Rattus norvegicus: one gene and its partners. The protein of the gene in region 4 interacts with the protein of the main gene of each other region in a pairwise test. Links are inferred from orthologs where the notes say so. Each region holds a gene or a part of one and is shown on either strand. Other genes may lie near its edges. The genes, in order: Pln, Vti1b, Mall, Ldlrad1, Adgrg7, Bnip3l and Bnip3.

Region 1 (3,500 bases), on a different chromosome or scaffold from region 4:
CTCAATAAATCAGACCTTGTTGTCTCTAGACAGTAAATAACTGCACTTTATTTTATATTCTTGTTTTAAAACTGATTGTAAACAGTATTCTTAAAAAAAAAAAAAAAAAAAAAAAAAAGTACCAGCCCTGGGAACTCCTTCACTCAGTCAGCAAAGGCAGAAAGGAGGCCTCCAGTTTGAGGCCAGTCTGTTCTGTGTAGAAAGTTTTAGGCTAGTCAGGATTACCTAGCAACACCCTGTGTCCAAACAAATAAATAAATAAAATGTTAGTGATAAACAATAATAATCTCGAAGTCAAAGCAGCCGCTGCCTCTAGACAGCTCACTGGTTTATTTTAAACCTGTACTAATTTTCTGTTAATAAGCTTTATTTGGTCAGCAGTGGTTTAAGAGCTTGGGGAGGGGGGGACACAACCCCACCCCTGGCCATCAGGATTAGCTGAAAACTGGAACTGTCTGGGATAGTTCAGAATCATAGCCCTTACTGTGCCTCCTCCCGAGCTTGGCGGTCTTCAGCACTTGACCACCTTGTTGTTTAGAGTAGCACTAACCAGGAGGCTGTACCTGGGAGGAGTCAGGAGGATATGTATACGATTAAATGCACTGTGTGATTCCACAAAAGCATAAACCATAAAGGAAAATGGCAAGCCGCTAGAACCTGTTTACTTCATATTTAACTTTTCACTTAACCATTTTATTTCAAACTAAAACTAAGATCCAAGATATAAGTTACTATATGCATCTTGTTATGATTAGTTCCGAAACATTTATAATAATAAATGTTCATACCAATTGTGTTTACAGAGAAACAGTTTTAAAAAAAAACAAACAAACAAACAAGGAAACCGTCCCAAAGAAGCATTCCATGAATCAAGTAATAGGTGCCAAACCTCCAGCCCCTCCGCTCACCCAGGACGAGTGCTAACATATGAGAGGAGCAGAGAGGCTGGGGCTGTAGACAGTGATAAAATACAGCACTGAGGAACATGAACCGGTACAAAACTGCATATCTATCCAGAGAATGGGTTTAGTATGAACCTAATCCTTTTACTATTTTTACATTCCAGGCCTCCTAAAAGGAGACAGCTCGCGTTTGGCTGCCTGCTGTCAACTTTTTATCTTTCTCTTGACTACTTAAAAAAGACTTGTCTTCCTACTTTTGTCTTCCTGGCATCATGGAAAAAGTCCAATACCTTACTCGCTCGGCTATCAGGAGAGCCTCGACTATTGAAATGCCCCAGCAAGCGCGTCAGAACCTCCAGAACCTCTTTATCAATTTCTGTCTCATCTTGATATGTCTGCTGCTGATCTGCATCATTGTGATGCTTCTGTGACAAGCTGTCGCCACCGCAGACCTGCACCATGCCAACGCAGCTTACAACCTGGCCCTCCACCACGAGGGAGGCAGTGCCGCCGCCTTCCTGCTGGACATCGTCGTGAAGGTCACGATTAAGAGTGAGACTGATGGCAGCCAGTGTGATCATCGGCTGGATCTTGTAAACTTTACCACGACTAAGTGTGCACAATGTAGCTGCCCGTTTCCTCAGTGTGGCTCATAAATGTCTTTCCTAAATACTTCTGACATTGTAGTATGAGTTTTAATTTTGAAACAGCACTACAAAAAAAGTTCACTTTCTATATCCAGCACTAGAAAGTTCAACTTATAGCTTCAGTTTGGGGAATAAATGAAATTTAAACTGCGTTGCCACCACTTTTTTTTTATAGGAACTAAATATTCTTCAGGTCTGCACAAAGTAGAAAATAATAATTTAAATGAAGTGTTCTTATTCAAAATAGCTCACTGGGTCCTCATATAGACGACGATGACGATGACCATGACGATGACAATGATTCAGAAGTCATGGTCATTACTGTCAGAACACATACCTTGAAAAAAGGTTGTGCCCTTTTTCTAAACACTAATTATTTTTAAGCTTATGAGAGTCAAATAGGGAAATGTAAAAGCATATTCTCATATAAAAATCTTCACTAATTTTTCCACTAATTGTGGAATTCAAGCACATTTACATTAACCACAAATGTGCTCTCTCTAGGGTTTGACCAGCAAGCAAGAACATCTTACTGTGTGGTTGCGATAATCACTAAAACATCAGAACCTCACCCGAAGGTTGGCTTGGCACAGATCTCCTGGGTTGTGCCGGGCTTCTCCAGATAATAAATGATAACAACAAACCAGACAGCTGTGCTGGGGTACAGCTCTCTTCCTGCATCCCCCAGAGAGGAGAGGCTTGCTCTCCTAACTTAAAAACTAGAGATTCTATTTTACAATCCTTACTAATCACGGTTTCAATTTCCCTTTCTAAATTCCTAATATCTCTCAATAAATACTAAAAGATTAGGAGCTAAAAACTGTATTGGAAAACATTCACCAAAATTTAGTTAACTTAAGTTATCCAATACAAAACAGTTCACACCTCTCCTGTGCACTCCCACAGTTCACACCTCTCCTGTGCACTCCCACAGTGTTAAGTCCAGCTCAAGGCATTCTACCAACACAGCAGCTATTAGGAGAGTTATAATTAGATATATTTTCCATAATGATTACTACGAAGATACGGCGCATCAGTATTCACCTTGGTCCCTAACAGAGCAGCTGAAGGCATGCTGATTCGAACTGTTTGAATCCCTGATAGAAAGGAAGATGTCTGGTTTCAGAAATTATCCAAAGAGTAGCCCACAAAGGAGTCCCACGTTAATAGGCGTCTCTTCAGAAAAGGCTGGGGGTGAGGGTGCCCATCACAGAAACTATAAAACATGGATGACATAATCTCTAAATCAATGTTCCCTTTGTGATGCTATGACCCTTTCATATAGTTCCTCATGTTGTGGTGAAACCCAACAATAAAATTATTTTTGTTGCTATTCCATAACTGTAATTTTGCCTCCACTATGAATTGCGAATATTTGTGTAGACAAAGGTTTGCGTGAGGGGTTGCAACGCACAGGTTGAGAAGCACTGGTGAATGGTCTGCGGAATTATGTACAAGTGCATAAGTTCGTAGTTGCCATGCTGAGAGGAAAAGGAAGGTGAAAAGCGCCTGGCCCTTTACATTCTCACTACCACACCAACTGTCAACTCATAAGTTCTTCTCATCAAACATTTAATGTTTAATGCCTTTTACATTTCAGTAGTTAAATGTTTATCTATAAAATGCAATAAGAATGGCCTATATTCAGATGGGATTATGATTTTGGTGCAATTGCTATACAATTAAATGCTATTACTATAAAATGTTGTCATTATAAAGAGTTTTGTGTTGTAAAGGGCAGAGTGGGGGGCACTTTCCCCAAATAAAGTAGAAATCAAGATTTCCTAAGACAAACATGAGAGGGTGGACGTACATACAACAGTACTGCTTAGCCTCTGGTTATTTTGAATCTTCTGGCAAAGCAGGAAAGCAATCAGTCACATTAGAAGATCTGGTTATATGCTATACCAGGTTTTTAATATCTTGAAAGTACATGATAATCCATATAGAC
Region 2 (4,092 bases), on a different chromosome or scaffold from region 4:
GCTCTAAAAACACAGCGTCTCAGGGCTGGCTGGCTGACTTACCAGGTAAACTGCCGCAGACTGATGACCTAGGAGCCATGCAGTGGAACAAGAAAGCATAAGATGACCTCCTCTAAGCTACACACACACACACAACAACAACAACAAAACTGAGGTCTCAGGCATCCATACTGGACTTCACGCAAACTAAAATGGAAAACTGTCAATAACCTTATTATAAGGACACATGTCTACAGGTACCACAAAACCAAAACTTAAAACAATAACCATAAGCACTTAACATATTAATCAGATGACAAAATTCTATCACTTCTGAGGCTTTTGAGAAATCTCTTCAGAAGATGCAATGTCAAGATAAGAGATACCAGATGTAGGTGATGAAGACTATAAAAGTCTAATGATTTCCATACATGGTAAGACTGTTACTGCCACAAACCTCCTAGATTAGGACACACTGTGGCAGCGATCCCTCCAGGGCCACGAGAATACAGACTATACCTTGAGGAAATAAGTCTCTCTTTCACTTTGGGTGTTTTAACCAGTGTACACATCAATTTGAAGAGTAATGAATGTGAATAAAAGGGAGAGAAATAAATTATTCTGCTTCGATACCCAGCTATTTTCTTCTAAGAACTCATAGTACCTTTAACAACCAAAAATGGTTTTTACAGTAATTTAACAAATACAATATGTAGTATTTTTTTTTTTTTTGAAACAGAGTCTCACTGTATACTCTAGGCTGGCCTTGAACTCACTGAGATTTCCTGCCTCTGCCTCCCAAGTGCTAGGACTAAAGGCATGCACCACCACCCCAGACATATCTAGCAAATATTTATCAGATACCTAGGATGTGCTGGGTACTGTTCCTGGGAGTTTAGGTCATATGCTAAACAAGCAAGCAAAAATACTATTTCATTTCCAGTTTACTGGCTCTCACTTGGGAGGCAGAGGCAGGAGGATCTCTGAGTTTGAGGCCAGCCTGGTATACACAAGAGAAACCTTGTCTTGGAAAACAAACACAAACCCAAAAAGCAAAAACAAACAAATGAAATGGGCATCCTAAGAATAACTGTATAGAGAGCTAATATTTCTAAATAAAATAGCAAACATATTAATAATAGCTGGTAGCTCTTACTATTGTCAGACAGTAATTTTAAAGAGCTTTACATATCTCATTTACTCAAAAACCCCATTCAGTTAGATGCTATGTTTTACTTTATAGTAGAAACTAGTTTGGTTAAAATAACTTGCAAGATCACATAACTAATAAAAGGTATATATAACTTCTGGCTCTAGAATCTCTCTCTTTTTAAATAGAGTCTCAAGATGTAAAATCTAGCTGGTCTGGAAATCTCTGTGTTGCTGTGTACACCAGGCTGGCCTTGATCTCACAGAGATTCTCCTATTTGTACCTCCCAAGTGCTGAGATTAAAAGTGTTCACTACTGTTAATCTCTTAATTTTTACTGTATTTACTAGATTAATAAATTCTTCATAATGTTTTTAATGGCAGAAAAATATTTTGTCATGCTTGGTACAGAACACACTGTTATCTCTAATCTACAGGTAGACATTCTCATCTACAGCTCAAACGAGTTTGCGCCTCTTATTTAAGTTCATTCACTCAACTGATCACGTGAGAAAACACGGACCCTCTTCAATCTTTCTTCCTACTCATATCCACCAATCTCATAAATCTCTGCCTCGGAACCACCTGTTAGATTTAATGCTCACTCTCCAGATTCCCATGCTTACCTAGTCAACTGTCACGGAAGCTCCTAACACAGTCTCTTATAGCCATTCTCACATCCTCTATCCAGCTATCCGCCGCCTTGCTTCTAAAATGAAATCCACATTACTCAGCTGCTTATGTTCCTTACTGATTTACCCTATTACGTCAAAAATCTTAATGTGAGACATTCAGGTTCCTCTTTAAGTGGCTGTTTTACTCCCCTCACCTCCCACCACTGTCTTACCTATAAGCTTTACAACTATTTTTAAATTTTCATTGCCTACCAACCAAATTCCTACATCCCCAACCCCAAACTAAGTTTCTTTTTTTTTTATATATAAAAAAGTCGTCTTAACGAAACACAGGACCGTAGATTTAAGAACGCCCTATGCTGCTGGGAGAGGAGGAGAACTAAGAATTTGGGGGCTAGGACGTGGGAGGCTCGCTAGGAGACGACATCCTAATGTCGATCCCATTGCACGCCCCCAGTCACAAGAGGCTGCAGATCCTGGGCGCCCGGGGCTGGACAGCAGCAGGGGGCGTGCCCGAGTTGGAAGCCGGGAGCCCGGGATTGCGTTTGGGATCCCGCACCCTGCGGAGTTCTACCGGTCTGGTCCCGCCCCCGCCTCACCGGTCCCCGCGGTTCCCAGCAGCCGCTCCGGCACCCCTTGTAGATCTTCAAGGAGGCCGCGGAAGATCTCGTGCAGCTTCTCGAAATGCTCGGAGGAGGCGGCGGAAGTGGCCATAGTGCAGGTTGCTCGTGAGCTGCGGCCACTGAGACTCCGGGCGCTGGGCCCACTCCCACCTCAGGAATCAGCTACCCGGCCCCAAAGCCATCACCGCTGCCGCACCTCGGCCTCCCGGAATCAGGCGTTTCCGGGGTCCTCCGAGCCGGACGCCCTCCCCCCTGTTGTCACTGTGCGAGCGCCAAAGCCTGACAGAAAGCCAGGCGAGGACGACACCCGGCTACTATAGGGGCGCGGCCTGGCGCCAAGGCGAGCTGCTGTCTCCAACCTGGAGACAGGCAGTGGGCACAGGGGAGGTACCAAAGCGAAGAGCCCAAGGGAGCCCGCGGGACGGGCGCCTCGGACGCCTCATTCGGGCCCGCCGGTCCTGCAGTGCATGCTGGGGGTTGTAGTTAAGTGAGGAAGGGCGGCTGTGCAGGGAGGGCCTGGAGTGCCAGCCCTGTTGCGCAGCGACTGGATAGCACAAGTGCCTAGCTGTCATTGCACTTCATTCTGCCACCTGACTTCAGTTCAGTCTCAGCCCTAGATAGATAGAAGAGCAGAGGCTTGCCCTGCTCTTCTCGGATGGTAAAGCTCTATAACTGGGGAGATTAAGTGGCCAGGGTCACATGCTTTCAGAACAGGAAAATGAGCACTGTGCTCCCAGAATACACAAAGCTTTTAGGGGCTGAGCCAGTCCAGTCCATTAGGCTGCGCCGGGTTCTCATTCACAACAGGTTAAGAATAGCCATTTTGATAAGTTAAATATTGATCAAAATATCTTTGCCTTTGCCCTTGAGTAATGTATGATTTGGTGTGGAAAACAGACCCGTCTTACCATGTCTCTCTCTCTCTCTCTTTTTTTTTTTGGTTCTTTTTTTTTTCCGGAGCTGGGGACGGAACTCAGGGCCTTGCGCTTCCTAGGTAAGCGCTCTACCACTGAGCTAAATCCCCAGCCCCGTCTTAGCATGTCTTATCTGCCCTTACATAAAACATATTAACAATTATGAAGTCTTCTCTGTTCTTTCATAGGTATAAATTCCTATGTATACTGTTGGCAGGGTTTACACAAAGAGCCTACTCTCAAAAGTTTGCGTGGGAGCTCAGTATTTATACATGGAAATACACACACACACACACACACACACACACACACACACACACACATATGGCTGAGGATGTAGCTGAGGGTACACTTATCTAACATAAGCAAATCCTGTAATCCATCTTCCAAGGTATATGGTAAAGTGGGTTACTGGTGATTTTTGTCTTTGAGGCCCTAGGTTTACAAGCTTGAATCCATTGACCATTAAATTCAATGAAAAAAATTGTAAAATGCATTGTGCAAAGATAAAGTCTGATGTTGTTAGCAGTGGTGCAAACTCTTATATTTTTCTCATAAAATTCAAAGATAGGCCAAGAGTGGTGTTGCTTGATTTTAATCCCAGCACTTGGAAGGCAGAGAGAGGCAGATGGATCACTGAGTTCAAGGCCAGCCTGGTCTACAAAGCACTTTCAGGACAGCCAGGGCCACACAGAGAAACCCTACCTCAAAAGCAAAATATAAAATTAACAGGGCCAAGTGCTCTGCCTGTGGAGCCCAGAAGAGGGCGTCGGATCTTCTGGAGCTGGAGTT
Region 3 (4,180 bases), on a different chromosome or scaffold from region 4:
CCTCACAGTCTACTCAGAATTCATGCTTTCCAGGCCAGTGAGATGGCTTGTCAGGTAGAGGCATTGACTGTCCCTCAAGCCTGATGACCGGAGTCGAATCCTTGGAACCTGTGTGTACTTCTTACTCTGCTGTTCCTGATGCCCCATGTAGATTACGGTCACGTCAAAGGGGGTCAGAGCCCCAAAGAATGCATAATGCTTATGTATGGCATTCACAAAAGGTGGATGGCTTCGGATGCCAGCAGCGTGGGGACTGAAGCATATGAACTATAAGCTCTAGAACTTGGAAAAGATTGAGGCTGGCTCGAAGCTTGCTGAGGAGACCTTTGCTTTTCCCTGCAATGCCTTGGCTTTAAGCTTTGCTTCGTGTATCCAAACTCTGCTGGCCGCTCCAGACCAGGTGGGGCTAACAGGCTACTTCTCCAAGCTTGCCCAGGAGTTCCCTGCTGTTGCTAAGAAACAAGACACAGGGCTCTTGTGCAGGACATCCCCCAGTCCTTGGGGCAACTCTTCCATGCCTCCTCTCCTCCTGAGGAGGCTTTCCAACTAGCCTTCTGGAGCCAAAGAGGGAAGGAAGACGACTCTGGGGCGCCAGACTTTTTCCTCAGGGTGGTGGAAAAAAAATGAAGGTTAGTGGGTTGGTAAAGAAGAAAGTGACCCAGTCTCCAGACCTGACGTGTGTGTGTGTGTGTGTGTGTGTGTGTGTGTGTGTGTGTGTGTGTGTGTGTGTGTGCAGCCAGCCCCAGGCTCTACTCAGGAAGGAACTGCCTGGCTCCAATCCTGTGTCCTAACTGACTAAGAAGACATCAAGAGGAGGAACCAAGAGGAATTCAGAGTCCCTGAGGAGGGGAGGTGGAAACCAGGCTGCTCCAATCCTTCCATTAGAATTTGAGGACAAGGCGGATGCTGCTGTGACCGCTCTGTGATCCTAACTGCACCTCTTTCTAGTCTCCTTTCTTGGAAAGGTACAACATAGACACGTGGTGGTCTGTCTGAGCTCCAGATGTGTGTGTAGGTGGCTAACCATACAGTAGATCCTCAATAAAATGGTCTTTATCTTAGCAAAAAGAGCCCTTGCTTACACTCTGAGCACAGAGATCATCAGGGGCATACAAAGCTGTTCCATTCACACACTGTCACTCATATCATCTGGAGTCATTTGCTCCAGCATTCAAAAGTTCCTTAGCAGGGAGGTCTAGATAGAAAGAGCCTCTGCAAGGCTGGTCTGTCCCCTCTCTTGCCTAGCCACAGTACACAGAAGGACCTGATCCACTGGAACCTTTCTTTTCCCCTCCCAGGCGACGACGTCCCTCTGGCCGATGGGTGTGTCTGGCGGGCGGGAGGTGATTCTTGCACAGCTGCGGGCGCGGGCGAGTGCCGCGGAGTAAGGACGCCAGCATAGGTGACAGCATGGCCTCCCGGGACACACCGCCGGCCACCAGCTACGCCCCGCCTGAAGTGCCCTCGGGGGTCGCCGCCTTGTTCCTCACCATCCCCTATGCCTTCTTCCTACCGGAGCTGGTGAGTGTGGCTGCCCCCACCTGCGGGGAGGGAGGGGCGGAACCACCGGGAACCTCTCTGTAACTGGGATGGGGAAAGGCAGCTAGCTACAGGCTCCTGCTTTTCCCGTGTCCCAGACTAGGTTCCAATAGAGCGAATTTTCCTCTTTCCCAAAGCTTGAAGAGCCATCCCCAGGCCACTCGCTTGCTGGAGGAGTCCAGCCACCTTCTAGACTACCCAGACCCCTAAGAAAATTCTATTACCTGGTTTCTTTCCCCCTTGCTGTTTCCTAAAGTTCAAAGAACTAGGGGACTCTCTAAGGGCCTTCTGAAAGAAGGTCTCCCAGCATTTTCTCAAATCACATCAGCTGACTTTGAACTTTGATTTATGTGTACTCCCTGCCAGAGGGAGCTCCTGACAGCATCATCCATAAAACAATCTGAACCGCCCAGGTTACTCTGGAAAACTTGTTGCTGCCCGACTCTGGGACACCACACAGCAGAACTGGGCGCTAGTCCATGCCTGCACTGAGCAGTGCATTCAGTAGAAAACAAAACAGGTCCCTCGGCTGGTTCCTGCTCTCATCCACCTCCCCCACTCCCCGCCAAGCCTCCCGTAATATCTAGTTTGTGGGTGAAATTTTCTTCTTAGCCCTGAATTTGACCATGCTGCCTCTGGATTGGGAGGGAGACTTGGAGTAGGACTGCTTACATAAAATGGGTGTGACCAACCCTTTCCCTTCTCCTGGTCTTCCGTGGAAGGTTAGGTCCCCTTGAGTGACCTTTAGGCAAATTGCTTAACCAACAGCCATTCTTGTCGATCAAGAAAGGGAAGTCAGGCTTATGGGTTCCACAGGTAGGTGGCCTTGATAGAAACTCCACCTAAGAGGCAGGTTTCTTCCAGCGCCAACCCCCCACAAATGTGGGCATCCTGCCAGGCTGATCACGTCCTGAGCTCTGTGTGCCAGGCCCTGGGTGTGGGCCTCACTTTGGAACAGCCACATGGATGGCAGGATGGCTCTGCTGAATTCTATTGAGAGAATGCTTGTCAGTCACGAAAATCATGGTCAGCGGAGTGGCTACCTGCCAGGGGTCTCTGTGGACAGAGAGAGGCTTGGGAGCATTTTCTGAGCAGTTAGAATGCAGCATGGTGTCCCAGCCAGATGAGTGAGGGTCCAGTCCTGTCACTGGGAGTTGCCACTGGAAGAACACTGGATGCCGGAGGCAGGAAAGCAGTCAGGTAGAGAACTGTCACTAGAGGCGCTGACAGGTGTCCCCACCTCTCCTCCTGCAGTTGGATTCCTGGAAAAGTACTTTCCTGGTGTCCTGGGACTTCGAGGGGATGAGGTCATTGTCATTGATTTGATTTTCTTGACTTACTTTTAAATAGTTTTAGATTTCTCCTAAAGCCATAGTGGCCGCACAGGAAGTCTGTTCCTCACTCTGAACCCCCAGGTCTCTCCAAGCCAGGAAGTTAACACGAGCACTCCGCCATTGACCATTGTTGTCCTACTTGCTCATTTCCCCACTAATATCCTCCCCCCAGCCCAGGATCCAGGTCAAAGCTCCTGATTGTGCTTGGCTGTCCTTCCCCTTAATCCCGGGAGGTTCCTCCGCCTTCGTCTCCGTCTTCTAGAGAAAGCACGGTCGGTCGGCTATTGCGGACCCTGGTCGTAGTTAGACTTCTACGCTCGCTCACTGTCCCTGTCGCTTTAATTTGCAATCCATCTTCATTCATTGATGAAAACTTAGAAAACACAGAAATGTGTTCACAGATGGAGCACATGCACGATCTCTGTGTGTACGTGTGTGTGCATGTGAAGGGATATTTCAATCTGTGTGTGTGAGTGTGTGTCTGAATCTGAGTGTGTGTGAGTGCACATATGTGAGTGTGCTGTGTGTATGTGTGTGTGTGAAGGGGTGTGTGAGTCTGTGAGTGTGTCTGAATCTGAGTGTATGTGAGTGCACATATGTGAGTGTGTATATGTGTGCATGTGTGCATGTGTATGTGTGTGTATGTGAAGGGGTGTGTGAGTCTGTGTGAGTGTGTGTCTGAGTGTGTGTGAATGTGTATATGTGTGCATATGTGTGAGTGTCTGTATGTGTGAGTGTGTGCATGAATATGTGTGTATGTGTGTGAGTGCATGTCTGTATTTGAGTGTGTATGAGTGTGTGTATATGTGTGCATGTATGCGTGAGTGTGTGTATATGTGTGTGTGCATGTATTTATGTGTGTATGTGTATGAGTGCGTGTCTGTATCTGAGTGTGTGTGCAATGTATGAGTGTATGTGTGTGCATGTATGTGTGAGTATGTGAGTGTGAGTGTGTATGTCTGTATCTGAGTGTGTGCTTGTGTTGAGTACATAATTCTGCACATGCTGCTTGTACCTGCTCTGAGCATGCCTAGAAGGACTCCAGAATGATGTGTGCCTGTTTGGAGGATGGGGAAGGAAATGAGAAGGTGGGGGAAAAGATTTTGATGTCATGGGCAGAAGAAGCTGGGAAGATGTTATGTGTGCGGGATGAGTTTGTCCAAAGCCCTTCTTTTGGCTCTAGTGATCTGATGTATTCTCGCTCTGCTGTCTACTGGGGCAGTGTGAAAGCACCAAGCCTCCAGGCACCCCTGATCCCTAAGTCTTCTGGTGTGAGACAAAAGTCTATATAGAACACATTAGAAAGC
Region 4 (3,500 bases):
TAACAGGGGCCTCCATAGCCAGATCCCAAGTCTGTCTTTAAGGATAAGGACAAGATACTTTTGGTCCCTTAAGCTACCTCTTTAATATTCATCACCCTCCCCACACACCCCAACCCCCACCAAGGTATGACTCTATTCTTTTTTTTAAATATTTATTTTTTTATTTATATAAGCACACTGTAGCTGTCTTCAGACATACCCAAAGAGGGCATCAGATCCTATTACAGATGGTTGTGAGCCACCATGTGGTTGCTGGGTATTGAACTCAGGACCTCTGGAAGAGCAGCCATGGCTCTTAACTGCTGAGCCATCTCTCTAGCCCATCTCTCTTCCCCATTAATAGTGGGGAAGACCCTGAGGTCAGAGTTCTGCAGACTGACTTTGAGTCCCAGTTCCAGAGTATACCCTGGGCAAGTCATCCCCTAGGCCTCTGTTTCCTCATCTGTCTAATGAGCACACCCATCCTTGCCTGGGTGGGTGTTGTAAAGCTAGAAGATATGCAAGGTATATAGGTCCTGGCTGCAGGACCAAAATATAAACCTGCAGGCAATTGTGGGGTGAAGCAAGGCAGAGGCTAAGACTAAAGGCATAGAGGGGTTCTTCTAAGCTGCACTGTCTCTGGGTCTTCTACTCCACAGCCACAAGCCTCTAGGATACTGGGAAACTAGAAAGATTCCAGGTCCCAAGTGCCATGTGCAACCTCATGTGATCAGTCGGGGCTGCTGGTGAGTTGGGCAAGAAGCTCCAGGGGCCTTGAGTTCCTGCCTTAGGCACCGAATGGTGGTAAATGTGTGTGCTTTGTTTTCTACCCACAGGGCTAAACTCACTTGGTATTTAAGCCACACATTTGTCTCTTCCAGGAATGACAAGATTGGGACTTCAAGTCTGCCCTGGAGTCAAGGAGCATTTCTCCTGTGGTCTCATTGACAGGCCTAAAGTGATGGAGGAGGCCGCCTCATCTTTGTTAGAATCTGCCTAACATGGTGGTGAGCTCCGTGTCATTGGAAGTGCTCAGGTGGAGGCTGAGACACTTGAATTCCTGTTCAGAGACCATGGGGGCTAGGTGCCACTGGTGGATGACAAAGGTTTCTTCCTGCCCTTGTGGTGTAGGCTTCGGTGCTCCGGTCTAAGGTTCCGGGTGCCAGCTTCCATGCTGACCCAGACCATGAGGCTCACTCAGGGTCCAGGACAGGAGTACTCATCGGACCAGTCAGAGCAGTGCTGCACTCCGTCCCGGCACAGGACCCTCGGGACACAGCTGCAGTACCTGAACACAGTTGGAGTGCAATACCACCACCCAGGGCCACAGGGTGGGCACGCAGTCACTGTGGAGACAAGAGCCAGCGGGATAAACAGCCGTCGATCCTGGGCTCTCCAGGCAAGATCTGCAACACGCATAGCTCCTGTACCCCTAGTGTGGGGTGACTGTGTGGGCTCCCCTGCAGCAGCAGCAGAGAGAATTGCAGCTGCACAACTCATACACAGGCTGTGTGACCTGCTCGCCCGGCTAAGCCTCAGCACCCATCTGCTCAACTGTTGGGTAAAGGAAACAAGACAGCGCTCGGGGATCAATGGATGCGGAGACGCTGCACCACCCAGTTTACCTTTCTGCTCAGCTCTCACTCCTGATACAGCGATCCCTTGGATGCTCTGGGGGTGCCTCCCTTTTCTACCCTCTGTCCTGTATCCGTGGATCCCCCATTCCTCTTTACACACCAGCCCCGACTGTTGGCCTCTGTTCTCTATGTCCTGTTCTGTGATGTCTTTTCTAAGGTGTCTGGTAGATTCTACAATGTCCGGGTGTTTCCTCTTGGCACCAGCATGGTGTAGTCCTGGGGATGGGTCTGACTCCTGACTCTCCCTTCCAGAATCTGGTACAGGTCACCTCAGCAGTGCCCAGAACATGTTTGTTAATTTAACACCAGGCATAGAATGTGCGTGCATGCATGCCATACAGACATGTACACATGTGAAGGTATGGACACGTATATGGGCACTTGTGTGGAGGCATAAGGTCTACAGTGTCTTCCTTGATGGTCCTTTACCTTTCGTCTTTTGAGACAGTCCCAGGCTGGCCTTCAACTATGGAGCCAAAGATGACCTTGAAGTTTTGACTCCTCTGCCTCTACTCTCAGAGTGCTGGGGTTATAGAAATGTACCACCATACCTCATTTCTGCAGTGCTGAGAACCAACCCAGGCCTTGTGCACACTAGGCAGACACACTACCAGCTGAGCTGCATCTTTAGACCCTACCTCCCTGACGTGGTGCACGCACAGCATGTGGAAGTTAGGAACCCGTGGTCGGTTCTCTCTCTTTACCACGGGGAGGGGTTTGGCCTCTCATGCTGTGCAGCAGTGCCTCACCGAGCATCTCCCCAGTGCTGGGGAAGAGTGTGAGGATGTCTAAGGACGTCGTTTACTCCACAGTGGAAATGTTCTTCCCAGGATTCAGGGACATGTAGGGGACCATGGGGATTCCCGCTCAGCCCATGCCCTTGGCCACTGCCCACCTGTGCCCAGCCCCCACCTGGGCTCAGCTCATCTGAGCAGTCCCCACAGTTGTTGGTGCCATCACATTTCTGGTCTGAGTAGATCCAGGAGTCTGGGTTTCCACAGGTGGTCAGGAGGAAGCTGGGGAGGCTCTTGGGCAAATCTCCTATAGAGAGACAAATGGGGCAGGACAAAATTCACCTCTGACCTCAGTATCTTGGCCACCTGCAGCTGAATCACCTGTCATACTACAGGGTCTCCCCATTCATTCTGGAAAGGGCATAGGAGGTCTTCCAGGAAGGAGGTTGGTTCCAAAGAGTGGAGTGTTCTTACTCTATACATTTGTGGGATTACAAGGGTCCCTGAGAGCACCCCTTGTATGTCCCCACACTCAGCATTGTGTGCATACTCATGCGTAAGTCCCCCCTCTGCTAGCCTGCTACCTTCAATCTAGGGTCAAGTCCCCCACAAGAAGCCTCTGCTCATCAGAACATAGCAGGTAAAACCAGATTTCTTACACAAGGGCCCCAGAATTCCAAAGTAGCATCTACGTCAGGGAGTGGACAGGGTGACCCAGATTCACACAAACCCAGGCCAGCCTCAGGTAGTGAGCTCGCCATCCTAGAAACACTTAAGCAGAGGCTGGGCAGTCTCTCTTGGCTTTCTGGAGTAGCTCATAGGATAGGAGCTAGAGTATGGACCTGGTGACACTTTTTGTTGTTGAGGCAGGGTCTCATTTAAGGAGGCTGGCCTGAAACTTGAAATGAATGACCTCGAACCCCTGATCATCTGCACCCACCTTCCAAGTGCTGGGATTGCCATGCACACAGCAACTCTTGGATTTGGGTTAAAGGGTTCTTTAGAGTCCAGCTCTCACGGATTTGAGGTGCAGTGTTCCCTACCCTTGTAGCAGAAGGTCTGGGCTGAGGTACCATGGGCATGAGGACATGGAGGTGGTACCTAGGGATAGTCCACAGAGCTGCAAGGGGAGTTAATGTGGTTATGGGGA
Region 5 (4,247 bases), on a different chromosome or scaffold from region 4:
ACATTTATAGTTAGCCATGAGTGTGGGATCATGTCCATAACCCCACACGTGGAATGCTGGTGCAGAAGGTGTCTTGCTCATGATACAATGAGTGTGATGTCATCTGGGATACAAATTGTGAGTCCGAGGACAATCCAAACTATAAAATAAGCTCTCAAAAAACAAACAAAAAAAGGCTTTAACAGATACATCAGTTTCTCTGAGATATGCATGAACTCTGACTCTAAGAAAAATGTTAATTTAAGGATAACTTATAACTAAGTAAGGAACTAAAGAGAAAATACTCAATTAATAACAATAATTAATAATTATTAAATAATAATAATAATTATTATTATTAATGACATTAGTAGAATGAAGGGAGGTGGAAGGAAAAGAGATGGAATTCCTAGAAGAAGTTAAAGGAAAAAAAAAGGGAAGTGGACTGGAACTGAATTAAACAAATACAAACAACTAAACAAAAGCAAACACTCCAAATGCAATGTACAAGGAGCACACACAGCAGCAGCCTAAGTCTTCATTCTTCCTATTTGTTAATGATTGTGACAATCCTCGAATTTTCTGTTGCCTTTCCCCCAATTCTATCCCCACAAGGGAGGGATATCCCTTATATAAAGAGACAACTGACAAACTAACACCAAGGGCAAAGCTAGTCTTTCTGAGGGGCTGGCATGTTACTGCCCTGAGAAGCAGAACGTTTACTACCCTTTACTCCCTTTACTTCCTTTAAAGGCCCTCAACAACTCGGAGGTGTGCCCAGGCTTAAGCAGTTTCCCCTACGCCTTTGACTAACTTGCACTTACAGGCCTCTGTTTAGTATTGTGCCTCATGTTGCTTTTGTACTTTGTCCTCTCAACGGTTCGATTTAATGGTGCCATTTCTAGGTCACAAGTTGCCCTTTGAAAACACAGGCCATTGGGAATGCGACAAGAAGGAAGACATTTCCCAAACATAAATCCTGTAAGCGAGATCTTACACATTTAATCCATGTAACAGCGAGAGAGACTCTTTATGGTTTTCCTTAAACCTGAATGAAAGTATTTTACAAACGCTAACTTTTTAGTTTTCTTCTTTTGTCCTGTTTAATTTCTTACTCAAGTTCTCTAAATGCTGCCAACACAGTATCCTCTGGATTCTATTCTGTTTATGTTATGTAGGGATGGCTGCATTCCACACTACCTCTTCAGCACCAGCCAGTATCAAACATTCGTCCTCAGCATGGGATTCTGCAGCCTGGCACCATTGCATCTTCCTTGAGGAAAGACTGATTCTCCTTACTGGCATTAGTTACCTCTAGTCACTCAGTTTTACCTGTTCTAAACCTCAGCTCTGAATCTATAGCAGTGGTTCTCAACATTTTTAACACTGCAACCCTTTAATTCAGTTCCTCATGCAGTGTTGATCTCCAAACCATAAATTATTTCATTGCTATTTCATAGCTGTAATGCTGTTATTGTTGGGAATTGTAATATTTTTAGATGGTCTTAGGTGACCCCTGTGAAGGTACCCAAAAGGGTCATAACACACAGGTTGAGAACCGGCGCTTTATAGTGGACCTCCAGAGGCCAAGGAATGCAGTGTTAGAATGATTAAAAATGTATTTTTGAGTTCTCAAGGGCTTTATTTTAACACTGTCATTTTACAGGTTATGCTTCTGTCCCTATTTTCCCCATGAGGTCTGGAACACAGCAGGAAACGTTTCAAGCACATACTGAACCAGCAGGAAAGTAACCTTTAAACTTAATTTAATTTTTTCAACTTTAACTCATTTTCTACACCTGCGAAATGGGAAACTTGTACATCAACCTAAGTTCTTTTCATGCATGACTCTAGTGCTAACATCACTAAGCTTCCTTCTTGAGATGAATTTCTATTCTGTACATAGTTTTTTGGGAGTCTGAGTTCACAGCTATTTACCTTTATAGGATTTAGCTCAGTAAACCCAAATATACATCGTTATACTTTCTATTGTTATTCATTCTATCAACTCAGGAATTAAAATAGCACATAGAAGCCAATTCCAACACCCTGCTTATTCACATACACACAGACACACACACAGACACACAGACACACACACAGACACACAGACACACACACAGACACACAGACACACAGACACACACACATATACACAGAGAGAGAGAGACAGAGAGACAGACTCGCACACACACACACACACACACAGACACACACACACAGAGACAAGAAGAGAGAGAGAGAGAGAGAGAGAGAGAGAGAGTCTCATTTTTTTGTTTTTTTTTTTAATAAAGCTGTGCACTGGCCATCAACCAACTGCCCTCTTACACTTCTTAAGTGGTATTGTGGAAGGCAGCCATTGTGTGGACAGGGCACTTCCCTGGCACTGAAATATCAGGTAGCAGAGTCAGAGGTTCAGTGCCACCACCACCCCAACACCCACTCTGTGTCTCAGTAGATTATAGCAGGGTGACATTACCTCTGTTGATCCTTACGACCATCCTCCAGATGCCCAGTCCCAAAACAATGCCCGTCAGCAAACCACACACAATAGTCACCAGGACCCGGACATCGAAGGATCGGCAGGAACGCATGGTGAAGCCAAAACACTGCACCACTATGTGCAAAACAGCTGGCTTCTCCTTAAGTCAAGAAATGTAACCAGAGATGGTTATAAAACATGAAAAGAATTCTTCCCTTCAGTGGTCTGTCTGGCAGGTGTTCTCATGTTTTAAGAGTTTTGAAGTTAATTCACAATAATGTAGTTGGAGTCACAGAATAAAAGGTACGCAGTATGCTCATTCTTCACTGAGGAGATCAACAGGTGGGGATTCTCAGAAAGGAAACTAACTTAAGGCAATAAAAAGGGGGCGGGATTAGCCTTGAGGGTCAAAGGGTGACTATCTGGACAAGATATACAGTCCAGGAAAGAGGCAAGTTACCAGAACCCAAAGAGGAAGCCAGGAAGGCAATGAATCCCTCTGGTTATCTACAGATCAGTCTGCTGTACTTTGGCTTTAAGAGCAAGTGCTTCAGGAGAGTCAAACACCCTCTTGGATAAGGTGTCATTGTTGGCCTTGATATGATAAACTGCAATAGCCACATAGGATTCCACTCTTGAATTTCCTTAAGGGGCCTACGTTCTAACAGCTGCAACTGATGAATGAGTATATGGACTTGGGGAGGATTATAAAAGCACTAAAACAGAATTAAACTCATCTATTATGAATTAAATGATGTCTCCACATTCACGAGTTGAAGTCTTAACCCAAAGCACCCACGATGCAACCTTGATTGAAGATAAGTTTGAAATATAATTGAGTTTAAATGAAGTTAATAGTGTGGGCCTTATTCCAACATGGTTGCTGTCTTTATAAGAGAACATTTGGGCCCCAATGTGCACAGAGGGACAATGTCTGAGGAATCAAAGGGATAATACAACCAATTGCAAAGAAAGGCTACAGAGAAAGGCTTGGAGTACTACCTTCCTTCAAAGTCCTAGGAACCGACTACCATGACATCTTGCTTTAAAACAGTAATTCTCAACTTGTGGGTCTCAACTTTCACAGGGGTCACATATCAGATAGCCTGCATATCAGCTATGTACAGTACAACTCATAACAATTGTGAAATTACAGTTATGAAGTAGCAACAAAAATAATTTTATGGTTGGGGGTCACCACAACATGAGGGCAATACATTCCTGTTATTTAAGCCACATAGCTTGTAGTACTTTGTCACAGCAATCCTAGGAAAGAAATCCTCCCTTAAAACTTTCACAAACTGCTATCTCTCCTATGCAGCCGTGACTCTGGGGATCCTGCTTTACTCTTCCCTCCTCCTCCCTAGTCTCAAATGAAGGTGCTAATGAGTACTCACGTGACTGAAGTTCTGGTTCTGGTGGATGAGTCAGTGGGTGGTTCCTCTGTTCATTTAGACCCAGGATGATAAAGTGCCTTCTTTGTCTTGAGACTGTCACAGGCAGGAATGAGCCCTCAAGCACTTACAATGTTCCAGGGTGAGAAACCAGGGTGTAACTCCTGATAAAACAGACCACAATGTTAAAGATAACAAAAATGTGTTGCAACAGAATACTCTTCTGGGAGTATTAAACATAGATTTATAAAATAAATTTTACATCTAAACTGATCGTTTGTTTGCCCCTCAAAATTATGTATTGTTCCCCAAGTTTTAATAATACTTCGTAAAGTACAACTCTGGGGGGAATATTAACATAAAGTCCCAATTTTTCCTCATTCTAGAGCTTC
Region 6 (3,500 bases), on a different chromosome or scaffold from region 4:
CAAATAACCAACCAACCTGTCTTCCAGCTGCCTTGGAGAGAGAACTGGGTCATAAGGCATACAGGAAGGTCAGGTATGATTTAACTGCTTTCTCTTTTTCTCAGACAAAAATTAACCATGTACTATAGATGAAACACATAACAGCTAAGACAAACATGCACAATCTCTTCCTCTAGTCCTACCTAGCCTGCTGCTTTCTAGACATCCCTCAATCTTCTTCTTGTGTATGTGCATCTTCAACATGGTGAATAATCAGCCAGCTGCAAATGAACCAGCACTGAGAAGCCTGTAAGGCTAACATTGTGCCAGGGACTACACTAACAAGTTCTCCCTATTTCTGGGGATGGTTATTACTACGTATGGTTATGTAGTCAGGCAGGCCTTCATCTTGTAGAAATATGTCTGCTCAGCCTCTCGAATGATGAGACTATAGGTATGACTTAACTATATGAGCTTAGAATTGTTAGTATTATTTAATACCTAGTTTCTCAGGAAGGGAAAGGAAAAAAAAAAGCTCAAACTGAAAATTAATCACTTGTTTTCCTTTCCTACAGCTTTCTGTATTTTTAGTCCTCAGCATAAAAATAATACATGGACTCAGGGTTTCAGAGGCAAAGAAGCACACAGCGATGTAAGAATTGAGTGACACGTCCTCTGAGAACACACTGCTTACTGAGAGTCACAGAGCCACAGACACGGCTGTAACCTCCGTCAACTTGCAGACCTGTAGCTGAGCATTTATTACGTGTCTCATGTGTGCCAACCTTTTACTATGAAGGGTGAAAGAAGGCCACATGGCTCTCCCTGCTTCTGCTGCCTAGAAAGGGACAGAGATTTGTTACTGTGAGTCATAATATGGGCCCAAAAAACAGGAAAATGGGATAAACTCAGATGAACTCTGAGATTACATTAATGACACTAAATTCAACTTTCATCTTAAAATTGCATTTAGTTTGTGTGTGTAGATACATGTGTGGCTGTGTATGTGGAAGCCAGAGGACAACTTGAGGAAGTCAGTTCTCGCCTTCTACCATGTGGGACTGAAGATGAAACACAAGTCAACCAAGCTTGACATCGAGTGCTTAACCACCTTGCTGACCTGTTACTCAATTTCAAACTGATAAACATCTAAAATTAATTTAATCTGAGAATAAAAATGACAATGGGGGTGGGCAACTCAGGTGCCTATCCAGCAGCTATTCAGTTATTAATTTAATTTTCTTGAGACCAGACCTCACCACACAGCCCTGACTGGCCTGGAACTCAAGATGTAGTAGATCAAGCTGACCTCGAACTCACTGCCTCTAACTCCAAGTACTGAGATTAGCGGTGTGCACAATCATGCCTGGCCTAGCTGTCTAGTTTAAACATGTATGCTACAATAAGTCTGGAGGCCTATTCTACTAACGAATATTTAGGCCAATAAGCTTGCCCCTTACAGAGTTAACTTGACAGCCACTCAACTGCCAACTTAGCACCCAGAGCTTTACTTACCTGTCACAGTGAGAACTGCCTCTTGAGCTGCTCTGTCCCGACTCATGCTGCGCATCCAGAAGGATCTTCTCCATGTCTCCATTGTGGATGGAAGACGAGGAAGGAACGTGCTCCAGGCCCCCATTCTTCCCATTTCCATTACCGTTGCCATTGCTGCTGTTCATGGGTAGCTCCACCCAGGAACCTGTTGGACGGCTCAGATAATAAGTCAGAACCACGGCAGGGCCAAAATCCCTCCTGTGCCACAGATGTCCATATGCTGGGTTCAGATAAGAATTCTGACTCGCCTCAAACAGAAGCCAAAGTCTTCTGAAGAAAATAAATATGAAGGAAGTCAAGAAGTCCATGCTGTTATGCCCCACAGGGACTCATGCACCAAAGCACTCAGAAGGTAGAAATCTGAAACTACGACCATGTGTTCTCCGTCCGCTTTTCTTTTTTGTTAAAGCTTAATTTGTATCCAAATTGGTTTTGGTGAAAACTCAGGCCATTCTTCAAAACTTACATGCCTCTTTCTTTACTAGACAGGATGTTACCTTTAACATTTCACTTACACACAAAGGCACTTGCCATGTCCGCTACAGAATTCCTCAGCTCTTTAGGAATGTGCACTAAATTAAGTCAACGTATGACTTAGTGACATCGCCCGGTTCATCTTAACAATACAACAACTGTCTACTAACACAAACTGAAAAGGCTCATGGAGTGGAAACCTGAATGTAATCACAAAGCCCCCAAATAGCTCCCAAAGCCGGAGCATGCAGTAATGCAGCTGGTCCTTAATGAAGCTAGGTAAGATTAAAACTTGGCGGGTGGGGAGCACTGGCTCCATTCCACAGATGTGCATCTCTCTCCTTTGCTACTCGCTTCAAGTCTTTCTCTTCTACACCGAACATACCTTGTCAAGTTGTTCCTTCCTTTTTTTCTCCCAGGACCTCTACTTTCTAGAGTTTTCATTAAGTCCTGAGGGTACGGAGGAGGGAGAAGCCACTGTAGATGGGTTACAAGCAGAAAAAAAATTGGGACAAATAGTTGAAGGGGGTGGGACCAAAGGAAAATGGGATGGGCCTTTATAATCTGAACGTTTTGAAAGTTCTTATTGGCCCAGTAAGTTAAATGATTAAGGTTCTTAAAATTTTAATAGGAATTGCAACAGTAGCCAATTAGTCAACTTGACAAAAAAGACATGCTCTACATTCCCTCAGTACAATCCTTTGCTTTAGGAAATATGACCAGCAGCCAGGTACAATGTTCACACGTGTACTCTGGAGTCTGAGGCAGTATGATGATCAAGAGTGAGGCCAAGGCTGGCCGAGGCTACAGAATAAAGCTCTAACTCAAAAGGAAATGAAAAAACAAATAAAATTTCCCCCTAAACCAAACTAACAACCTCCAAAATGTAACCTAGCAGGTCAGCAGGGCCAACTCTCTCTAAATCCTTAGCAGATCAGTCAGAATCATCAAAGACTACCTCAAACCCTAAAATACACCCAAATGAGTCAATGACACCAGGCCTAGAGGGAGGCAACAGCTCTTCTGGCTGGAATGGCACTCCAGCCTTTAACCCCTCCTATCCTCACTCAGTGTCATCAGAATACAGAGCTGTGACAGAGGGACCTACTTCCCAGAGCTGCCAGAACCAACCACATAACATAAACTGCAGGCCAACACTTACTGACATACCAAGGAGTTTGTATCTGTTACTAAAGGGTTAGCTGTCTCTCCATCAAAGGCAGCGCCTCCTCCCTCTGCCCCTTGCCAGCAGTCTTGAAGTCACCAATTAATTCCAAACAACACAGGCAAACAGCACCTGGCCTCATTCTACACCTACATGAGGATGGGCATGGACAGAACCCGGAAGGATGAGCACGTAACGCCAGTATCGTTAAGAGAGATCTTTAGCTGGCTACAAACGTGCAGAGCACATCTAAATTTAGATCTCTGTAAAATATTCTAGAGGGAGGGACAGAGAGAATAAACAATTTCCCCCCTACTCCCACTGCTTC
Region 7 (3,500 bases), on a different chromosome or scaffold from region 4:
ACTGCCCTGGTTGATTTTGGAAAATTGGTAGTGTAGGAGAATCTCTACATTTGGCATCAGGACTGGGTACCGGGAAGAAGACAACTTGATCTCAAACTGTTAGGCACTAGAAAAGATATGGGTAGCATTAAGCTCCATCACATAAATTGGGACAGGCTCAGATCTGAATACAAGATTGGCCTAGACAAAGGGAACTGGCCATAATGATTGCAGCTGGTCTTGAACTCACAGCAACATTCTTGTCTTAGTGACTCGGAACTGCAGGGATTCTACGTGTGAGCCACTATCCCTGGCTTCTGGGTGTCATCAGACAGAAGGGAGGAGGTCCAGCAAAAGACATTAGGCTGGAACTGGAGTGAGTATAGGATTTCCAGATCCCAGAAGGCACTGGGGCCTGTGTACAGCAGCAGAGGGGCTCTGGGCTCTGCCCTTCTGAGTTGGTGATGTGCTTCATGTGGGCTAGGCCTGCTTCTCTATGAGGCAATCTGAGAGGCTAATGAGGGAAATCATCCTTATTTCAAAGTTTGTTGTATAATCATGTTAGTTTACTGAGAGGCTGTTGGTGGCATGAACTATAAATCCAAACTTATTTCTGGTTAGCTCAAAAACATTTTCTATAGGCAAATGTGAGTCAAAATAGACAGAATCTTGGGCCCAAAATGAGGCCCATACACATTTCTTACGCTGCCAAAGAAAGCACCAGGGTCCAGAGAGATGGGAGGGGCTTGCTGCCAAGCCTGAAGTCAAACCCAAATGATGGGAAGAGAGAACCCAGGTATTGCAAGTTGTCCTGACTTCGTATGCATACTGTGTGTGCACAGGTGCCACACAAACAATGGCTAAGTAGAAAGCAAGGAAGCAGCAGCATGGGGTGGGCAGCAGAGGCAGTCTTCAGTAAAGGATGCCCCTGTTCCAGGACATAGCATTCATCAAATTGGATCCAGGAGAGTGAAAGACTAGTATGAGGGTTGACACACTGTGTAGTAGCACAAACTCAAGTTGGAATTACATGCAGTCTGCATGGCTCTTTGTAGCACAAACTGACATAAAGCTTGGCAGTCCTCCTGCCTCAGCCTCCTAAATAACTGGGATTATGGGTGTGTGCTACCATGTCTTGCTGAACACACATTTATACACACAAACATTTGGCAGTAATGGGGATTGAACCTAGACTACAGCCTTACGATTTTATAAGGCAAGCACACTTCCATTGAGCTCCCCCCAGCCCTCGCTTTAACTATTTTATTTATTTAATGTATGTGAGTACATTGTAGCTGTCTTGAGATACACCAGAATCTGTTACAGATAGTTGAGCCACCATGTGGTTGCTGGGATTTGAACTCAGGACCTCTGAAAGAACAGTCAGTGCTCTTAACCGCTGAGCCATCTCTCCAGCCCAGCATGAGCCCTTAAATATTGTAATAGATGCATTCAGCAGATCAAACTGAAAGCAAGCCACAGATGTAACAGTACAAAGAGTTCATTTATTTTTGTGGTGTTGGAGAACCAAAGTCTACCCTGAGACTTCATTTTTAATGTGTGTCAATGCTGTGCTTCTATAGTGTAAATATTTGTGTGAGTACTTGAAAGGTAGATCCCTTCAGAGAGTGAGATATAACCAGAAATGAACTATTCTGTTTTCAAAACTTGCTAATCTGATTTCTGGTATAAATGCAGAGCAGTAATCAGACTTGTGGATTTTACAGAGTCCTAGGGCCCCGTGATCCTGAATGTAGAAACAGCTTGAGTTTAAGTCTTTAGCTAGGCACATTAGCCCATGACTGTACGCCTAGCGCCTAGAAGGCTGAGGCCTCTAGTTTTATGCCAGCTTAAATAAGATCCTCATCTTGGCCTGTGGTAAATCCACAGGTATGTAGAATACCTACATGGAATAAAAGAATGGCAAGAGATAACAGTGCAGTGTTTCAGCCTCAGGGTCCTTGCCTACTGGACCTAAAAGAGGCCAGCAGACCAGAAATGCAGATATCTGAAGTGGCATTAAAGTAGGGCCTAGAGTGATCTTTGGTATTTCCTGGGAATGTGAGTGGGTAGGTCTGTCTATCTGTCTATATCTTTGTTTATTCATTGATTGATTTGGACAAGTATTCATTGTGTGGTCCTAGCTAGCCTTGAACTCAGAGTACTGGGATTAGTCGTCAAGCCCCATGAGGGGGCAGATTTCTAACTGCCCATTTTGTCCTCTTCAGGCTCCTGGGTAGAACTGCACTTCAGCAATGGGAATGGGAGCAGCGTTCCAGCTTCCGTCTCTATTTATAATGGTGACATGGAAAAAATACTGCTGGATGCGCAGCATGAATCTGGACGAAGCAGCTCCAAGAGCTCTCACTGTGACAGGTAGGTGTTCTGGGTATCCCTTACAGTGTTGATGTCCTAGTAGATGGATAATCACAACCGCATGTTTTTGTGGGTGGGTTCCAGGTCTGAGGCCACATTTGGGAGTAACTCCTGAGGTAGTCATTAAGCAAGGAACTCTGGAGTCTGCTGGGAGGAAGTGATTTGGAGCTCAGTCTGGAGGGACTCTATTAAACCTAGAGATAGATAAAATTGTTCACTGTGAGCACCAAGTCTGAGCAGTTTTGTTCATGCCCCCAGCTGGCTTCTGTTCCTAGGCAGCGTCACTAGGGAGTGAATCCAAGGTGTGTGGCTGAAGTCAGTGATCAAAGGTCAGATGCTTCCGAGGGCTAAGTCACAGATCATGCGGGAGGGTGGGGCTTCTCTATGGAACTGTCTAGTGGGCTCCTGTGTGCTCAGCTCAAAAGACTAAGGAATTGTTTGGCACTGGTCTGGTGAGGGGCAAAAGGGAAGAGACATACTTTGGAGGCTCCTCTGCCACCCCTTAATGAGGTAAGACCCCTGCTTGGAACTTATGCATCTTATGACACAATTGACACGCTGCTCCGTTTTGTCTGTTTCTTAATCAAGCCCACCTCGCTCCCAGACACCACAAGATACCAACAGAGCTGAAATAGACACCCACAGCTTTGGTGAGAAAAACAGCACTCTGGTAAGCCATAGATAGGAAGTGGCTATAAGGTTCAGTGCATCATCAGTCTGGTGACTCCTGCATTTGCAGCATATGAGAGTCTTTACTCTTAGTTTTTGAGGAAGGGTGTCTCATTCAACATGGAGCTCACCAGTTGGATAGTTCAATTGGCTGGTGAGGTCCAGTGATCCTTCTATCCCTGCTTTCCAAGCCTGGGACTACAGACATGATCCATGGTGTCCCCTGGCATTTTATAAGAGTGTTGGATCTGCATTTTATTGTTTATTGTTATGTTTATGTTTATGTGTGTGTTTGAGAGAATGCCATATGTATGGAGGCATTTTAGAGCCCATGTTTTGGTTTTTATTTAGATAGGGAATCCCTATTCACCCCGTCTAGCCGGGAACTTGCTATATATTACCAGGCTGGTCTTGAACTTACAGAAAGCCACCTGCTTCTGCCCCGAGTGCTATGATTAAAGGTGTGCACCACCTTC

Evidence for each region.
Region 1: the proteins of Ldlrad1 (region 4) and Pln interact in binary tests that used the Homo sapiens proteins (3 or more experiments, as listed by UniProt). The link is inferred for Rattus norvegicus from reciprocal best matches to the Homo sapiens genes LDLRAD1 and PLN.
Region 2: the proteins of Ldlrad1 (region 4) and Vti1b interact in binary tests that used the Homo sapiens proteins (3 or more experiments, as listed by UniProt). The two-hybrid records come from large-scale screens. The link is inferred for Rattus norvegicus from reciprocal best matches to the Homo sapiens genes LDLRAD1 and VTI1B.
Region 3: the proteins of Ldlrad1 (region 4) and Mall interact in binary tests that used the Homo sapiens proteins (3 or more experiments, as listed by UniProt). The two-hybrid records come from large-scale screens. The link is inferred for Rattus norvegicus from reciprocal best matches to the Homo sapiens genes LDLRAD1 and MALL.
Region 5: the proteins of Ldlrad1 (region 4) and Adgrg7 interact in binary tests that used the Homo sapiens proteins (3 or more experiments, as listed by UniProt). The two-hybrid records come from large-scale screens. The link is inferred for Rattus norvegicus from reciprocal best matches to the Homo sapiens genes LDLRAD1 and ADGRG7.
Region 6: the proteins of Ldlrad1 (region 4) and Bnip3l interact in binary tests that used the Homo sapiens proteins (3 or more experiments, as listed by UniProt). The two-hybrid records come from large-scale screens. The link is inferred for Rattus norvegicus from reciprocal best matches to the Homo sapiens genes LDLRAD1 and BNIP3L.
Region 7: the proteins of Ldlrad1 (region 4) and Bnip3 interact in binary tests that used the Homo sapiens proteins (3 or more experiments, as listed by UniProt). The two-hybrid records come from large-scale screens. The link is inferred for Rattus norvegicus from reciprocal best matches to the Homo sapiens genes LDLRAD1 and BNIP3.

Annotation. Positions count from the first base shown.
Region 1 is NC_086038.1:33,178,994-33,182,493, forward strand, and holds the end of Pln (cardiac phospholamban), read left to right. Parts: intron 1-1,066; 5' UTR 1,067-1,174; coding exon 1,175-1,333; 3' UTR 1,334-3,248; downstream 3,249-3,500. UniProt on the Homo sapiens protein: Reversibly inhibits the activity of ATP2A2/SERCA2 in cardiac sarcoplasmic reticulum by decreasing the apparent affinity of the ATPase for Ca(2+).
Region 2 is NC_086024.1:103,706,688-103,710,779, forward strand, and holds the start of Vti1b (vesicle transport through interaction with t-SNAREs homolog 1B), read right to left. Parts: upstream 2,801-4,092; 5' UTR 2,478-2,800; coding exon 2,363-2,477; intron 1,838-2,362; exon of another isoform or gene 1,755-1,837; intron 1-1,754. UniProt on the Homo sapiens protein: V-SNARE that mediates vesicle transport pathways through interactions with t-SNAREs on the target membrane. These interactions are proposed to mediate aspects of the specificity of vesicle trafficking and to promote fusion of the lipid bilayers.
Region 3 is NC_086021.1:135,401,267-135,405,446, reverse strand, and holds the start of Mall (MAL-like protein), read left to right. Parts: upstream 1-1,380; 5' UTR 1,381-1,410; coding exon 1,411-1,521; intron 1,522-4,180.
Region 4 is NC_086023.1:127,226,392-127,229,891, reverse strand, and holds the end of Ldlrad1 (low-density lipoprotein receptor class A domain-containing protein 1), read right to left. Parts: intron 2,658-3,500; coding exon 2,529-2,657; coding exon of another isoform or gene 2,512-2,528; intron 1,326-2,511; coding exon 1,177-1,325; 3' UTR 139-1,176; downstream 1-138.
Region 5 is NC_086029.1:57,281,457-57,285,703, reverse strand, and holds the start of Adgrg7 (adhesion G-protein coupled receptor G7), read right to left. Parts: upstream 2,801-4,247; 5' UTR 2,574-2,800; coding exon 2,459-2,573; intron 1-2,458. UniProt on the Homo sapiens protein: Orphan receptor.
Region 6 is NC_086033.1:45,363,214-45,366,713, forward strand, and holds part of Bnip3l (BCL2/adenovirus E1B 19 kDa protein-interacting protein 3-like), read right to left. Parts: exon of another isoform or gene 2,452-3,500; coding exon of another isoform or gene 2,393-2,451; intron 1,804-2,392; coding exon of another isoform or gene 1,679-1,803; coding exon 1,495-1,678; intron 1-1,494.
Region 7 is NC_086019.1:203,144,963-203,148,462, reverse strand, and holds part of Bnip3 (BCL2/adenovirus E1B 19 kDa protein-interacting protein 3), read left to right. Parts: intron 1-2,207; coding exon 2,208-2,355; intron 2,356-2,943; coding exon 2,944-3,025; intron 3,026-3,500. UniProt on the Homo sapiens protein: Apoptosis-inducing protein that can overcome BCL2 suppression. May play a role in repartitioning calcium between the two major intracellular calcium stores in association with BCL2.